Yarrowia lipolytica: one gene and its partners. The protein of the gene in region 4 binds, or shares a complex with, the protein of the main gene of each other region. Links are inferred from orthologs where the notes say so. Each region holds a gene or a part of one and is shown on either strand. Other genes may lie near its edges.

Evidence for each region. Proteins that work in one complex are often made in the same cells at the same time.
Region 1: the proteins of YALI1_F37742g (region 4) and YALI1_C05820g are in contact, whole or in part, in a cryo-EM structure (PDB 7K01), measured with the Saccharomyces cerevisiae proteins. The link is inferred for Yarrowia lipolytica from reciprocal best matches to the Saccharomyces cerevisiae genes TFB2 and TFB4. Residues at the interface, in NP_015203.1 of Saccharomyces cerevisiae: Leu33, Tyr36, Arg37, Pro41, Lys44, Phe45, Met48, Ala49, Phe52, Asn53, Lys64, Trp65, Val66, Asn67, Ser68, Asn69, Gly70, Ala111, Leu112; in NP_015381.1 of Saccharomyces cerevisiae: Val59, Asn62, Ala63, Ala66, Phe67, Asn68, Met114, Arg117, Phe118, Ile245, Gln246, Ala249, Thr250, Phe253, Ile254, Leu258, Pro260, Ile261, Ile262, Lys264.
Region 2: YALI1_F37742g (region 4) and YALI1_F27663g share a complex: the UniProt entries of both Saccharomyces cerevisiae proteins name them as parts of the 7-subunit TFIIH core complex. The link is inferred for Yarrowia lipolytica from reciprocal best matches to the Saccharomyces cerevisiae genes TFB2 and RAD3.
Region 3: YALI1_F37742g (region 4) and YALI1_D35398g share a complex: the UniProt entries of both Saccharomyces cerevisiae proteins name them as parts of the 7-subunit TFIIH core complex. The link is inferred for Yarrowia lipolytica from reciprocal best matches to the Saccharomyces cerevisiae genes TFB2 and SSL1.

Annotation. Positions count from the first base shown.
Region 1 is NC_090772.1:580,237-583,605, forward strand, and holds YALI1_C05820g (uncharacterized protein), read left to right. Parts: upstream 1-1,808; coding exon 1,809-2,831; downstream 2,832-3,369. Other genes in the region: YALI1_C05789g (uncharacterized protein), read left to right, coding at 1-141; YALI1_C05813g (uncharacterized protein), read right to left, coding at 374-1,162; YALI1_C05837g (uncharacterized protein), read right to left, coding at 3,109-3,369. UniProt on the Saccharomyces cerevisiae protein: Component of the general transcription and DNA repair factor IIH (TFIIH) core complex, which is involved in general and transcription-coupled nucleotide excision repair (NER) of damaged DNA and, when complexed to TFIIK, in RNA transcription by RNA polymerase II.
Region 2 is NC_090775.1:2,763,496-2,768,073, reverse strand, and holds YALI1_F27663g (uncharacterized protein), read left to right. Parts: upstream 1-1,682; coding exon 1,683-4,040; downstream 4,041-4,578. Other genes in the region: YALI1_F27686g (uncharacterized protein), read left to right, coding at 1-502; YALI1_F27667g (uncharacterized protein), read right to left, coding at 891-1,358; YALI1_F27574g (uncharacterized protein), read right to left, coding at 4,179-4,578. UniProt on the Saccharomyces cerevisiae protein: ATP-dependent 5'-3' DNA helicase.
Region 3 is NC_090773.1:3,537,798-3,541,781, forward strand, and holds YALI1_D35398g (uncharacterized protein), read left to right. Parts: upstream 1-1,955; coding exon 1,956-3,446; downstream 3,447-3,984. Other genes in the region: YALI1_D35394g (uncharacterized protein), read right to left, coding at 183-1,580; YALI1_D35424g (uncharacterized protein), read right to left, coding at 3,661-3,984. UniProt on the Saccharomyces cerevisiae protein: Component of the general transcription and DNA repair factor IIH (TFIIH) core complex, which is involved in general and transcription-coupled nucleotide excision repair (NER) of damaged DNA and, when complexed to TFIIK, in RNA transcription by RNA polymerase II.
Region 4 is NC_090775.1:3,772,337-3,776,179, forward strand, and holds YALI1_F37742g (uncharacterized protein), read left to right. Parts: upstream 1-1,926; coding exon 1,927-3,330; downstream 3,331-3,843. Other genes in the region: YALI1_F37734g (uncharacterized protein), read right to left, coding at 215-1,108, 1,155-1,157; YALI1_F37770g (uncharacterized protein), read right to left, coding at 3,448-3,843. UniProt on the Saccharomyces cerevisiae protein: Component of the general transcription and DNA repair factor IIH (TFIIH) core complex, which is involved in general and transcription-coupled nucleotide excision repair (NER) of damaged DNA and, when complexed to TFIIK, in RNA transcription by RNA polymerase II.

The DNA.
Region 1 (3,369 bases), on a different chromosome or scaffold from region 4:
TGTTGGATCAACATGGGGTTCATGATCGCTTCGGTATTTGGTACTCTGGGTATTGTCTTCTTTCTGAAACGACGACGCATCAGTGGAACAAATCATGCGACCATCAGTGAGACCCAGAAGGAGTTTGTGTATATGCTGTAAAGAAGTATTCGAGCATTTTATTTATCCAGGAGTAACGGCTAATGATCTGATAATAGTACAGTATGTACTGTAGATATATACGTAGTAAGTTCGCACTTCGGTGTTGAATTCATATCACACGCAACACACTGAAACTCGTTACAACTCACTCCAACCATATCTACGCCCTATTCCTGGCTATCCTATAATACATGCATGCAATAAACTATCTACCAGTACGGTCCAACGTGTCCTACTCCTTCTTGGTTCGCTTGGCCTTGGCTCGAGCTCGCTCCTTGTCCAGGTTCTTCTTTCGTTCAGTGGAAGACAGGTATCGGAACTTCTTCTTGGTCTTCTTGACCAGCTTCTTGACCTTGGGCTCAGCCATGCCGGAGTAGACAGCGGCCAGACCAGCCTTGTCCAAGCTTTCCTTCAAGACCTCGTCAGCCTTGGACATGTCCACATATGTGTTGTTCTGGTCCTCATCATCGGAATCAAGGGACACGGCCTCAATGGTCACCGTGGTTTTCTTTCCCTGACCGTCCACGTACTTCTTCTTTTGCTTCTTGAGCACTCCGGGCTTATCGATACCCTCCCAGTCGGAGAAGTCGTCTTCATCAGTGCTAGACGACTTTTTCGACTTCTTTAAAGTCTTCTCTTCGTCCTCCTCTTCGTCCTCCTCTTCATCCTCAGACTCGTCGCCAGAATCAGAATCCTTCTCGTCGTCAGTGCTGAAATAGCCCGATCGAGCTCTCTCGATATCCTTCATGGCCTTCTGCATTCGAGCTCGCTCCTTTTCCTGGTCACCTTTTCTTTCGTCTCGCAATTTTTTCCGCTCGGCGATCCGGTCCAGCCGCGCCTGCTCCTTGGCCTTCTCTTGCGCCTTTTCCTTTCGTTGCAGCTTTCGCTTTCGGAAGCCCGTCAGGTACTCCTTCCGGTTGGCGGCGTCGTAGGAGACCTCATCCACGCCAAACTGGCTAGTTTTTTTCTTGGCGTATGACCGGTCGCCCTGCGTCAAGATCTGTCTGTTGGTGGCGGCCATTTTGGGGAGTGTCTTGGGGTATATAGGGGTCAGGCCAAAACTCGAAAATGAGGTGAACGCTTAAATGAAAAATATCAGTGGAGGTTTAGACCTGCATGAGACTCGAACTCTGTTATGAGGAAGGCACTACTTGTAGACGGGGTGTATGAAATGAAAAGAAGAATGAGGAAGCGGAAGTGGAAGCCGGGACATTCTGAGCACTTTGGACCATGGATTGAAGATCCGGGCCGAGTTTCGAACCGATCAGTGATGCATAACAGCTTCAAATACGAACCCTGAGTGTGATAGAGCGACATGTTACAATTGTATGGGCAGTGGCGTGAGTTCGATTCACTCTACTGGCACGATATTGTAGGGAGGTAAGTTCAGGCTGGCTGACCACTGAAATATGACATGACTAAGCTTTGATGGAGACCGAGAAGAAAGGAACTGGATAAGTAATCCCACTCACAGTACAGTATCAACTAATTATATCACATGATCACATCAATATGTACCCACCCCTATACACGTGTAAAAAGAACTGTACACTCGTACAAGTACAAGACAGGATTGTACTGGTACTTTCGCAGCTCATTCAAATCAGCAAACTCAAATCCTCTATCTAACATCTACTTTTCAGACACCGAAGCCTTCCTCCACCACCATGAACGCCATTGATGGAACGTCCCGCCAGCTCAAGGACACGGAGGATCAGACTCTGGACGACACGCCGTCGTTGTTGTCGATCATCATTGACGCCCATGTGCCGTCGTGGGAAGAAATCAAGTCGCAAATATCCATCTCGGAGGCTGTGGCTTCCATTCTCGTCTTCATCAACGCCCACTTGGCTCTGCACAACTCCAACAGCGTTAATGTGATTGGATACAACGCCAGTGGTGCTCGAATTTTGTATCCTCCTAAAAGCGGCGTTGAATCGACTAGATCAAAGGAGAGAGAAGAGAGATCGGAGAGTGTAAGCGATGGAGAACAGGCACCCAGCAAGAAGGACCACTCCATGTACAGACAATTCAAGACGGTGGACGAGGTTGTGCAGACGGAGCTGTGGAACATGCTGAACCACACCAACTACGTGGAGGAGGAGAAACAACACAACTCGGCCATCTCCGGAGCACTGAGTCTAGCTCTAGGGTTCATAAACAAACATGTGTTTGTGGACGAGTCGAGAATGCGAGCAAGGATCCTGCTGCTCACCGTCGGACACAAAAACGAAACCATCCAATACATCCCTACTATGAACTGCATTTTCGCCGCCCAAAAGCTCAAGATCCCCGTCGATGTGTGCAAACTGGGTCCTGGATCCGACCAGGTCTTTCTGCAACAAGCATGCGACTCGACACACGGCATCTACATGGATATCAGTGAAAAGAACTCCAAAACACCCAAGGGTTTGGTTCAGTATCTGCTATCGGGCTTTATCTCAGACCCCAGTTTACGACCCCATATTGTGCTGCCCACCCAGTCCAATGTGGACTTTCGAGCAGCATGTTTCCTGACTAAACAGGTGGTGGATATTGGCTATGTCTGCTCTGTCTGTCTGTGTATCATGAGCCAGATTCCCAGCAACAGAAGATGTCCTACATGCGATACTACCTACTCTGAGAAGACTTTGGCTGGTTTGGGTCGAAAACCTCTCAAGAAGAAGAAAAAGAAGGTCGTTAAGCCATAGTTGCTATTAGACCGATCCCTAACATGAACCAGTGCGGTTCATATAGCATAGATGTAAACATAATGCAATGTATTTGTATAACCCTTGATGAATGGTTAGTGTATGTGGCCAGAATCGGCAGTTGAATGTGTATACATGTAAAGTTATTGGCGCTGTGTCGATCTCGTCGTCTCTACAGCACTGCTTGCGATATCCCCCTCAGACGTGCCCATTGTGAGTTTGGAAACCAAAAACTCACAACCACCCGTCTAGCCCTGAGTTGCTCATCCTCGACTCATCACTGCTTCAAAAGCGAAACCTCACCCTCCTTCAGTCCTTTTGTCACCAGTCCAAACCTGAAGTTCTTCGGATACCCATGCTTGTCAACCAGATGCATCCTCCTCTTCCTGTACTCTGCAAACCGTTTATCACAGCCCTCCTCAAAACATGCAAGATATTTGTCGCCGCGGTCACGTGATATCGCTACGAACGGGTCGTGTTCTTCGTCCAGATGCAGATTCAGAAATTTTTCGCTCGGAAACCTGGCCTGACAAGTGGT
Region 2 (4,578 bases), about 1.0 Mb from region 4:
TGTGGCACCCTCGGACATGATTGACGGTCGAATCCACGACATCAAAAAGGGCTTGCTCAAGGCCGGTCTTGCCCACAACGTCATGGTTATGAGCTACACTAAGTTCTCCGGAAACCTGTACGGACCTTTCCGAGAGGCTGCCTGCTCTGCTCCCAGCCACGGAGACCGAAAGCGATACCAGCTCCCCGCTGGCGGTCGAGGTCTCGCTCGACGAGCTCTTGCTCGAGACCTGGCCGAAGGTGCCGATGCCGTCATTGTCAAGCCTTCCACCTTTTACCTGGATATCGTGGTGGACGCTGCTGAGATCTGCAAGGACGTGCCTATTGCTACCTACCAGGTTTCCGGAGAGTACGCCATGATCCACGCAGCTGCCGAGAAGGGCGTTGTTGATCTGGAGGTGATGGCCTTCGAGGCGGCCTACGGTAACCTGCGAGCCGGAGCCAACCTCCTTATCTCTTACTTTACCCCCGACTTTCTCGAGTGGTTGGACCACCACCACTAAGGTGACACTACTAAGACGACAAGGCCCGATGACGAAGTAATGAGACCATGCCCCTAGAGTATCTAGATAATTATTGATGAAGAAACGAGAAGATATATTACAGCAGCAACGCCCTCCACTCGTGGATCCAACTACAATACAGAAAAAAGCACAAGTACAGTCCTTAATAGTGTATGAAGTATCTACAGTACCGGTACTTGTACATACTGTAGCGTCTGACATTGAAGGAGGTACTGCTGCACTCGGACAATCCCACTACGAACAACAAATCGAATAGGTAACATTCTATACATAATTTAGTCCGACTATCCTAACCATCGGACCCTACTGTCAAGATTAGTTGACACCCTCTTCCTTCCTTTCTCATGCTAGTGTACATTATAAATAACTAATCCTCGAGCTTCTTGACGTCCTTGACAATCTCGTCAAAGTTCTCCTTGTACTCGACCTTGGTGTCGGCCTTTTTACTCTTGCCTCCGCCGGGAACAATCATGACGGTGGAAGTGGGTCGCTTAGTAGCACCGGCAGCTCCGAGATCCTCCTTGGAGGGGATGAAGAGGTAAGGAACACCGTTGTCCTCACAGAGAACGGGAATGTGAGAGACGACATCCATGGGAGAAATGTCTCCAGCGATGATGACAAGACCCTTCTCGCCCTTTCGGAGAGCCTTGACAACCTCCTTGACACCTCGCTTAACGTGCTTGGCCTTGGAAGCCTTCTTCACGGTCTTGAGCACCTTCTTGTTGAGCTTCTTGGGGGCAAGAGGCTTGGCGAAGGGCAGCAGAGCCTCCATTCGAGCGTCGTAGTTGTCGACCTCGTCAATCTCAACGGTGATATCTCCCTTGTCTTTGCCCATTGTTGTAGTGTGATGTGTGAGACTGCAGGATGAAAAAAAAATTTAGCTACAGCGCTTGAAAAAACTTATTAGGGTTCAGAGGTTATGAGCATCCAGGAATACATGCACACAAGATCAGAATTAAAAAGTAAACAGATAGACAGCTTACGGACATGATTACTATTAATGATACCATTATTGGGTTATGAGCCGTTTACACACTCCTGATAAATTTTTCAGATCCCCAGCTCCTCCCAAAACAATCTACCCTAACCACGACGCCATGCATTACACAACCTTGATATATCAGTAGCACCATTCGTTGCGACAGATCAACCACCAGAGATGAAGTTCTACATCGATGATCTGCCGGTGTTGTGGCCATACCCTCGGATCTATCCCGAGCAGTATGCCTACATGTGCGACATCAAGAAAACCCTGGACGTGGGAGGCAACTGCATCTTGGAAATGCCTTCAGGAACAGGCAAGACTGTCTCCCTGTTGTCTCTGACAGTGGCGTACCAGCAACACTATCCCGAGCATCGAAAGATCATTTATTGTTCCCGAACAATGTCGGAGATCGAGAAGGCTCTGGCTGAGTTGAAGAACCTCATGAAGTTTCGAACTGAGACTCTAGGCTTTGAGGAGGACTTTAGAGGGCTGGGTCTGACCTCACGAAAGAACCTGTGTCTGAATCCCAATGTGCGATACGAAAAGAAAGGTTACATTGTCGACGAGAAGTGCCGAGCCATGACATCTGGAATTGCCAAGCAGAAGCTGGCTGCAGGAGAAGACGTTACTCTATGTGAATACCACGAGAACATGAACGACATTGAGCCTCACAACTACATTCCACCTGGTGTTTTCACCTTTGAGGACATTTTGGCGTATGGCGAGGAGCACAAGACATGTCCTTATTTTACTGTGCGTCGAATGATGGCCTTCTGCAACGTCATCATCTACTCTTATCATTATCTACTCGATCCCAAGATCGCCGACCGAGTTTCCAAGGAGCTGAGCAAAGACTGCATTGTCATTTTTGATGAGGCCCATAATATCGACAACGTCTGCATTGAGGCTCTGTCTGTCGACATTACTGAAGACTCCTTGAAACGAGCCACTCGGGGAGCAAACCATCTGGCCAAGAAGGTCAGTGAGGCCCGATCCAGCGACTCTGAGAAATTGAAAAATGAATACAACAAACTGGTGGATGGATTGCGAGATCTGGAATCCGGAGAACAAGAAGATACGTTTCTCGCTAACCCTGTGCTCCCTGAAGATCTTATTTCGGAAGCTGTGCCTGGAAACATTCGAAAGGCAGAACATTTCGTGGCCTTCTTGAAACGATTCATTGAATATCTCAAGAGTCGAATGAAGGTGCTTCATGTCATTTCCGAAACCCCTGCATCGTTCTTGAAACATCTTCGAGATTTGACATACATTGAACGAAAGCCTCTTCGATTCTGCGCTGAGCGTCTATCGTATCTGGTCAGAACCCTCGAGTTGACTCACGTCGATGATTACACTGCTCTCAAGGAGATTGCTGTGTTCGCCACCTTGGTGTCTACCTACGACACCGGCTTCCAGCTCATTCTGGAGCCCTTTGAGACCGATCAGGCCACCGTTCCTAACCCCATTTTGCATCTTACATGTTTGGACGCCTCCATTGCTATCAAGCCTGTCTTTGATCGGTTCTCAAGCATCATCATCACATCCGGTACCATCTCCCCTCTAGATATGTACCCGAAAATGTTGAACTTCGAGACTGTGGTTCAGGAGTCGTACACCATGACACTGGCACGGCGAGCCTTCTGTCCTCTCATTGTGACCAAGGGTTCAGACCAGGTAGCCATCAGTTCTCGATTCGAGATCCGAAACGATCCTTCAGTTGTCCGAAACTACGGTAACCTTCTGATTGAATTTTCTAAGATCACACCTGATGGCCTTGTCGTCTTCTTCCCTTCATATCTTTACATGGAGTCTATCATTTCCATGTGGCAGACTATGGGTATTCTGGACGAAGTGTGGAAGTACAAACTCATTCTGGTCGAGACTCCTGATGCTCAGGAAACCTCTCTTGCCTTAGAAACTTACCGAACTGCCTGCTCCAACGGTCGAGGCGCTGTCATGCTCTGTGTCGCTCGAGGAAAGGTTTCGGAAGGTATCGATTTCGACCACCAGTTTGGAAGAACTGTGCTTATGATTGGTGTTCCTTTTCAGTACACCGAGTCGCGTATCTTGAAGGCTCGTCTCGAGTTTTTGCGAGATAACTACCACATTCGAGAGAACGACTTCTTGTCTTTCGATGCCATGCGCCATGCTGCCCAGTGTCTGGGACGAGTCTTGCGAGGTAAAGATGACTACGGTGTCATGGTGTTGGCTGACAGACGTTTTGCCAAGAAGCGAAACCAGCTGCCCAAATGGATCAACCAGGCCATTTTGGATGCTGACACAAATCTGTCCACAGATATGGCTCTAGCTGCAGCCAAGAAGTTTTTGCGAACTATGGCCCAGCCTATGAACAAGGAAGACCAGGAGGGTGTTTCAGTGTGGTCATTGGAGCAGCTTCAGGAGTACCAGGGATCCAAAAAGGATGGAGGTTACCGACTTGCCCCCGAGGATGCCATGGATATCGATGAAAAGGATCTTGAAGAGGGTCTCAGAGAAGTCGAACAAGCCAAAAAAGAAATTGCTGCTCGATAACAACGGTACGTACAGATATCCGTAGCAGCATATAATATAACAAGCATTATTTAATTAAAACACAAGAGCAGTCCACAGGCACAGTCAATGCAAGGTTATACAATACAATAATAATATACATAATTTATGATCATCCTCTTACTCCTCCATTTCAACCTCTTCCGCTTCCTCACCCTCAGCCACAGTCACTGTGAACTTCTTCTCGGCATCCGCATCAACATACGAGTCGCAAATGCACCAAACGTGACCACTGACCTCTCCATGCTCGGGGAACGAGACATCGATGTTGAAAGTCTGGGACTCGAGAGGCAAGGTGACTCGCTTGATACCAAAAATCTGCTTTGTCTTGGTATTTCCAACCACGATCCACCAGTTCTCCGTCTTGGGCTGGGGGAACAGGGGAGCAACCACCTCCAGATTAGCACGCTCATCCTCCTCGTACACATCTCTCTCCACAGTGACCTCGATGGTTCCGACATCGTTAGTAGCGTAAGAGTCAGCAAGCTCATAGCTGAGCTGAATACTTGGGTAGGCGTCC
Region 3 (3,984 bases), on a different chromosome or scaffold from region 4:
CAGTATGTACTTGTGATGCTACCCGTCGATCTTGACCTATTCTAGCTGACAGCATTTAGATTGTTTCACACCCCGGAAAATTACTAAACATACATTATCCTAACTAATACAGGTCCTGGCAGCCCGTGCCAGGAGTCACGCCATGGCGTCTCCCCCAAATATCACCGTTCTATCTCACCCATCTACCGCTTAGCCCGTCGGGTCTTGGGACCAGAAGGTAGACGTCCGACGGAAGAAATGGGCTTTGGAGGTTCAGGGGCCGGCAAAACACCCAGATAGTTTGTTTTGAGAGCAGGGATGTTAGTGGAAGGCTTGATCTTGGAGTTAGCAATGTCGATGCCCTCGGTGGATTGCAGCAGCCGTCCCAACACACCCTCGATTTTCATTGCAAGCCGTCGCTCCTCAAACGACACTGGTGGAGGTATGTCAGGTGTGGCCAAACGGTCTGCCTGGAGTTGTTGCAGTTGGAGCATGAGTCTGCTGACAAACTCGAGCTCGGTGCCAGTTTTGATGGCTTCGAACTCGTCGTCGTCAATGAAGTTTCGAGGGTGCCATTGGAGAATGTCTTCCATGGGCAGATCCTTGGAGGGGTCGACATCTTCATCTCTAAACAGAGGCTGGAGGTCTTCCTCTTCCTCTCCCTGTCCCCCCTTCTCCTCTTCCTCTTCCTGTCCCTCCACCTTAGCCTCAGTCGCGTCATTCATCTCCACGTCGTTAGTATCCTCCTTTTTGGTGTCGTTCTTTCCAAGAGCGTCGTCGATGGCGCTTTCTCGCAGTCGCCCAACCTTCTCGTACCACAGAGCTCCGGTTGAAGCGGGGTCGTAGACGGCCTTACCACTGTCGCTAGTGGGGGCAAAGGACGAGTTTGCGTCCATCCGCAGGAACCGGCTGGGCGCCAACTCGGAGCCGTTGGGGTGCACAAAGTGCGTCATCATCTCTGTCGGAGGCAGGGCTGGGTGTGGAAGTCGCGACACGGCAGGTGTGAGGTAGCCCAGTTGGTAGGCCGGAACCGACCGGGTACGTGGCAGTACGTTGGTTACCTGGAACGCGCCCGGGGTTATACTTGGGCGCGGGTCGATGGCCGATTTGGTGGACAACGTCGAAAACAGAGGTCCATTCTGGCCCATGACCAGAAACGATTCTGCGCTCCACGACTCCAAGTCCGCAGTCAAGTCGGCGTAGTCGGCCACGATTTCCTCCTCGAACTCCGTCACGTCCTCGGGTACCACATCCTCGGGGTCCTTGCCTCCAAACAGGTCCATCCGCGAGCCTTCTCGGATGATGAGGGCTGCGGCAAACTTGAAGAACCGGTCCACCTCCAGATACTTCTCCGAGCCAATTGGCAGCGCCACCAGAGCCTGGACGGCTGCGGTCTTGACGTCCACGTACAAGTTGCGCACCGAATCATACGCCTTCTCGGATACCGAGGTCAGATCAGCAACGTTGTGTTGGGCATAGCTTGCAAGCACCGACAGGTTTGTGGACTGAGGCGACACCTGGGGCACTGCCTTTGTGGAGAGCACAGTCTTTCCGACGGCGTCGGCTAGCAACACGTCCAAAATGTCTTGTATGAGCGACATGTTGTCTTTGTGTTGGTGTCTGGGTTCGATGAGATGTGTGGTGATTTTTGTTCGACGTGATGAACGTTCCGACGTGTGGGTGTTGACTAGAGTATGACAGAAACCATACTCCAAAAATTAGCTTCGTCATGTGACCCAGCCAAGAGACAGCGGTGTATGAGATGGCGGAGAAGAAGTGGAGTGGCTATATTAATTTCTGTAAATTTGTTTCGACGGCGAATAATCCACTTAGAATTGCTTTCAAATCTTTAAACCTATTCTAATGCCGCCTTGTATCGACGTCCTGCTTCTTCCGTTGTATGGCAAGCATGCATACAACACTCATCTCTTCATACTCTTATCTAGTACGGGTACGAGTACACATCTCAGCACACCATGGACGACTCGGACGACGACTACATTGAAAACATTAGTGGAGACGAGTACCAGGGTGCCCCTCGGCGGTCGCGACGAAACCAGGCCCCCAAGGGCGCCGGAGGCTCGGTGGAGAACATGAAGATGGCCAATGGAGGATACTCATGGGAAGACGAATACCATAGATCTTGGGACGTCGTGCAAGAGGACGAGGGAGGATCGCTGGCAGGCTCGGTGGCGGGTCTTGTGGAAGCAAGAAAGAAACGACACATCAAGGATGCAACTCCGTTCCAGAGAGGTATCATTCGAAACCTGATTTTGGTGCTCGACTTTTCGTTTGCCATGAAAGAGTCCGATCTCAGACCAAACAGGTACCAATTTGTCATTAACCATGCCATTGAATTCGTAACCAACTTCTTCGACCAGAATCCCATTTCTCAGCTCGGAATTCTGGGCATGAGAAACGGACAGGCAATCAGCATATCGACATTGGGCAGTAACCCCAACGACCACATTAACGCCCTGACGGCAGCCAAAAAGCTCGAGCCTCAAGGTGATCCATCTCTTCAAAATGCTCTTGAAATGGCTCGAGGTCTGCTTTTCCATGTGCCTTCTCATTGCACTAAGGAGGTACTGGTTGTTCTGGGTGCCTTGTTGTCGGCTGACCCAGGAGATATCCACGTAACCATCGACAAGCTCGTTATTGACAAGGTCCGAGCCCGAGTCATTGGTCTGGCGGCGCAGGTGGCGATCTGCAAGGAACTGTGTGTCAAAACCAACTTTGGAGACGCTTCATACTATGGTGTCGTGCTGAACGAACAGCATTTCCAGGAGCTCATGGACGAGGCTACTACACCCTTGGCAGAGTCACAACAAAGCCAGAGCGCCAATCCAGCATCCCTGGTGCTCATGGGATTTCCTTCAAAGGTTTCAGAAGCAGCTCCCTCTCTTTCGGCCTCCGATGCAGCTCTCACACAAGGTGGATACGTCTGTCCGCAATGTAAGGTCAAGGTGTCTTCACTCCCCACAGTCTGCCCCTGCTGTGGTCTCACACTTATTCTGTCCACCCATCTGGCCAGATCGTATCACCATCTTTTCCCCCTGGCTCCATTTATTGAAGTCCCCTGCAAGAACGCACACAAGTCTGAATTCTGTGCAGGCTGTCAATCCAAGTTCCCAGTGGTGGCAAGAGATGCAAAAAACATCCAAGCCGATGGCTCCATGACGTCACGGTATGAGTGTCCCACCTGCCACTCTCATTTTTGCATCGACTGTGACGTCTTCTGCCACGAAATTCTACACAACTGCATTGGCTGCCAGGCACGCAGCTACTCTCTCTACCAGGTGGTGGTCACCAAACACAAGGATGCAGCTCCTTCTCTTAAGCTGGTGATGAAGCGGCCCGATCCAGACGGAGAGGAGAGCTCTAGACCAGTCAAGGTGAGGGTAGTTAATGATAACGAGGGTCCAGCTTGGAATGAAGGAGGACAAGCTCCTACCTGGGGGGAGTAATTACAAATGAACAAGGCTATAAATCACTGGGTGCCTTCTCTTTCGGGCACATGTATACAATACCAATACGACATAGATACATAATTCATTTGAATCGACACAAACGTATTTATTTTACCGCACAGTGTATGTACACTCTACACTACAATAATTACAGTAACAAAAACCACGTGTGTTAAAATGCTTAATAAATCATCACGATACGTAAGTAAAGCTAAACGAGAATCTCAAAATCGTCGTCCGTGTCGCCATCCCACTTTTTGGCTCGCTGGGGCATAAAGTCGCGAGCCTCGCCTCGTCGCCGTCGTAGCGACTTTTTCGCTGGCCGGTCCATCAAGAGACCCTGAGCCTTGAGACTGGCAGTAAGCTGGGTGCCCTGAAACACAGTGGCCAGGAAAGCAGCAGTAAGAGCCTGCGACTCTTGAAGACTGTCCTTGAGCTCGCTATTAGAAGATGCACTGAGCTGCGACAGAATCGATCGCAACGACCGCAGCAGGCGCTGGTCTGGGACAATCGAGCCCTCATTCACGCCCTTGAC
Region 4 (3,843 bases):
GTCGACATTATCTATTTTACTGTGTGACCTGTAGTGCAGTTATCTGGCAACTGTATGGGTAGGTGCCTCCAATTGGTGATCTCGAGACACGATCTTTACATAATTGAACATAGTAGGAGGTTTTTCTACAGTATTTATAAACATTGAAACCCGTATTCCCATTGCATGTCACTACAATTTCTCCCGACAATACTCATACATATATTCTCTATGGTTACTCCTCGACAACACCAGCGGACTCCCACTCGCCAGTGAGATTCTCCTTCCACAGAGTGACCTTGTTGTCGCCTCCAGAAACTGCCAGCACGTTGCCGGACAGAGACCAGCTAACCTTCCACACCACATCGGGGAAGGGGATGTCCTGAAGCAGCTTCTTCTTCCATGGCTGGTTGCCCTCCTGGGTCCACACAATGACGGTCTTATCCTGCGAAGCGGAAGCAATGTAAGACTTGGACAGAACAGAGGAAGACCAGGCAACGTCTCGAACCCAGTCCTTGTGGCCAGAAAGTGTCTCCTCAATCACGTAAGTCTTGGAAGAGGGGTCGTACTTCCAGATCTTGACGAGGTTGTCGCATCCTCCAGTGACAATTCGAATGTTGTTTGATGCTTTGCCGTTGATGGGCTGAATGAGCGAGCCGGACACGGCAGGGGGAGCCCAGGAGGCGGAGTTGGCGCCCACATCATGGGCGGCGAAAGTGGTGGCCTCGCAGTTACCTCCCTCCTTGAACTCGACTACGGACACGTTGCCGTCGGAAGAAGCGCATAGGAGTAGGGGCCCGTACTCCTGGGGAGCCCACACCACCGAGTTGACGGAGGCATTGTGCTGATGCTGAGCAATGTTAGTCCATCGACCGTTCTCCTCTCGCCAGATGAACACCTTGCCATCGTAGGAGGCAGAGGCAATAATAGAGCCGAACTTGGGATGGGCCCAGCTGACCTGCCAAACGGGGCCCTCGTGTCCTCGCAGCGTCTCGACGAGTTTGTGGTTGTCTCCATCAATCTCGAAGATCTTGATGGTCTTGTCAGACGAACAAGTGGCCAATCGCTTGCCGTAGTAGTCCAGGACGGCGTCGTGGATGAGGTCGTCGTGCGTGTTTCCTATGGTCACCTGGGTTAGCTGATTGCCGGATCATAGCTGTCGTTTCCATACTCACCATTCTGATGGATAGTTAGATATGTCGTGTTCTCACGTTTGAGTTCAGTGATGTGTGTGGTGGGTGTGTCCTTGCATACGGTACTCGTAACCTGTTGTAGGGACAGGAGCGACGCGGGAGGGAGGGACAGGCAATTTCAGTTGACACTCTGACTCAAACCACCATGGGATTAATGTTGGTAATTCACCACTTTCTATCATTCATTTCATCATTCCTCCTACATTGAGGTGTTGTGCAACGTGTACCTGCAAATTAAAGTTGTAAACGTAAGGGATCATCGAAGAGACGTGAGGTCGTGGAAACAAGTAAACACGTAACCACGAGGGAGTGGATGTTGATAGAGAAAGTGGTGGAGAGGTACGAAGAGGTATAAAAAAGCTCTAGGATAACGGATCAGACAAAAAAAAACAGCTCTAAATCAATAGAAGGGATGGTTCACTATGGCTTGTTGTCAGCTTGAACGAAAGTAAAGTAAAATACTTAACGGTAAACCAACCATTCGCATACTGACGCACAAATAATTTCTGTCAACCGTGAACATATTCTTTTGACCCAAGTATTTCGAATTGGAGGAGAACTAAGAGAGTGAAAGGTTTTCAAAATAAGAGAAAACCCATGGTTTTGGTGTAGCCATTCAATCACGCACTCCTGTCATATCAACCATAGCCATCTCTTACCTCACTCTCCTCCAGTATCCATTTATGTAGAACTCTAATAAGATCTTGCATGATATGACAAACTGACCATTGTTGATACGGCAATCACAGTGGATATGACGAGCCAGTTCAAAAACAGCATCAATGACTACCTGGAAGGTCTTCCGGAGGCAGTACTAACTCGGCTGTACCAGTCTCCGGCCACATGTCTGGCGGTGTTCCGACTGCTACCTGCTCTGGCAAGAACACTCATCATGGGCATGATTTTCAACCCCGATCCCATAGCAGTAGCCGACGTCGACGCTCTGGTGAAGCCTTCAAGTCAGCGACTCAAGCTCGAAACACAGAAGAAACTGCGACTGCTCCACATTTTCACAGAGACCCAGGCCCATATCATCATTAATCCGACATTCAAAAAGAACCTGAGGGCAGCTCTGGTAGGAGGAGACCAGAACATTTCGTTTGGAGTGCCCTGCGACACGGAAGACAAACACAAGGTGGATGTGGCGTTTTTGGATGCTCACGCTGTCTCTCAATGGGAGATGATCTTACATTTTATGGTCGGAACGTCGATTGGAAGAACACCCAGTGATGGAGTGCTCAACCTGCTGAAGCACAGTGGACTTATGGAACCCGAACGGGGAGGACTGAGAATCACCAATGCAGGATTCCAGTTCTTGCTACAGGATGTAAATGCTCAGATTTGGACACTGTTGCTCCAGTATCTCAACATGTCCGAGTATCTGCAGATGGATCCTGTAGACGTGCTCAACTTCATTTTCATGCTAGGTTCTCTCGAGCTAGGCCAGGACTACTCGCTCAGTGCACTCTCCGAGACACAGAAACACATGCTGGAGGATCTGCGGGATTACGGTATCGTCTACCAGCGAAAAGCATCGTCTAGACGATTCTATCCTACGCGACTGGCTACTACTCTGACATCAGAAACGGCTGCACTTAGAACAGCCAGTCAGAGCATGGAAGCAGCTACACAAGACACAATTTCGTCTTCTGTTGCTGCCGACTCTGGATTTATCATTCTGGAAACTAATTTCAGACTCTACGCCTACACAGAGTCTCCACTACAGATCGCAGTACTGAACCTTTTTGTCAATCTTAAGACACGATTTGCAAACATGGTTACCGGTCAGATCAACCGAGACTCGGTTCGATTTGCGCTCTCAAACGGTATTACTGCCGAACAAATCATCACATATCTCTCTGTTCATGCACACCCACGTATGAAGGGGATGGAACACGTTCTTCCCCCTACTGTGGTGGATCAGATCAAACTGTGGCAACTTGAGATGGACAGAATCCGAGCCACCGACGGTTACTTGTTCTCCGAGTTCAAAAACTTTGACGAGTACAAGGATGTCTCCACTTATGCCAAGGAGCTGGGCGTTCTCTTGTATGAGAATCCTGGAAAGCGAAAGTTCGTGTCTACGCTTGCTGGTTCTCAGCAGATTGTTGAGTTTGTCAAACGACGAAATCAAAAGCACCGTAGCTCCGCAAACTGACCAACTAGAAATTGACCATCAAAACCATAGCATATAATAGATCGCACTAATAAAACAAGCGATGTCAACGTTGAAGTTATTCAATCCATACTATATACTGCCCAGACATTTCCTTCATTAAAGCCCATAAGCGGAGGAAAAAGCACTGTCAATATAGACAGTGACAGCATCGCTGGACCCGTCGGGGCTGAGTCGCTCGGACTTTGCCAAGTCTCGCACTAGCTCGTCCAGTTTGGTAGATTCACCCTCAAGCTCAGCGACAGAGCTGTTCATGAGGAAGCCGGTGACAAGGTCGTCGACGCCGGCAGCAAGCTTATAAATACGGGAGTTGACACTTACAAGTCTGTCCTTGGAAGTGGCATCAGCATCAGCCTTGCATAGAGACGAGTATCGTGATGCCAGAGCCTGAACGAGCTTGAATAGGGTAATGAGCTTTGCATGCCACTTCTCAGCCAAAGCAACAATTTCGTCGCTTCGGGAAGTAGGGGCAGCGGGAGCAGCAGGTTCTGCCTC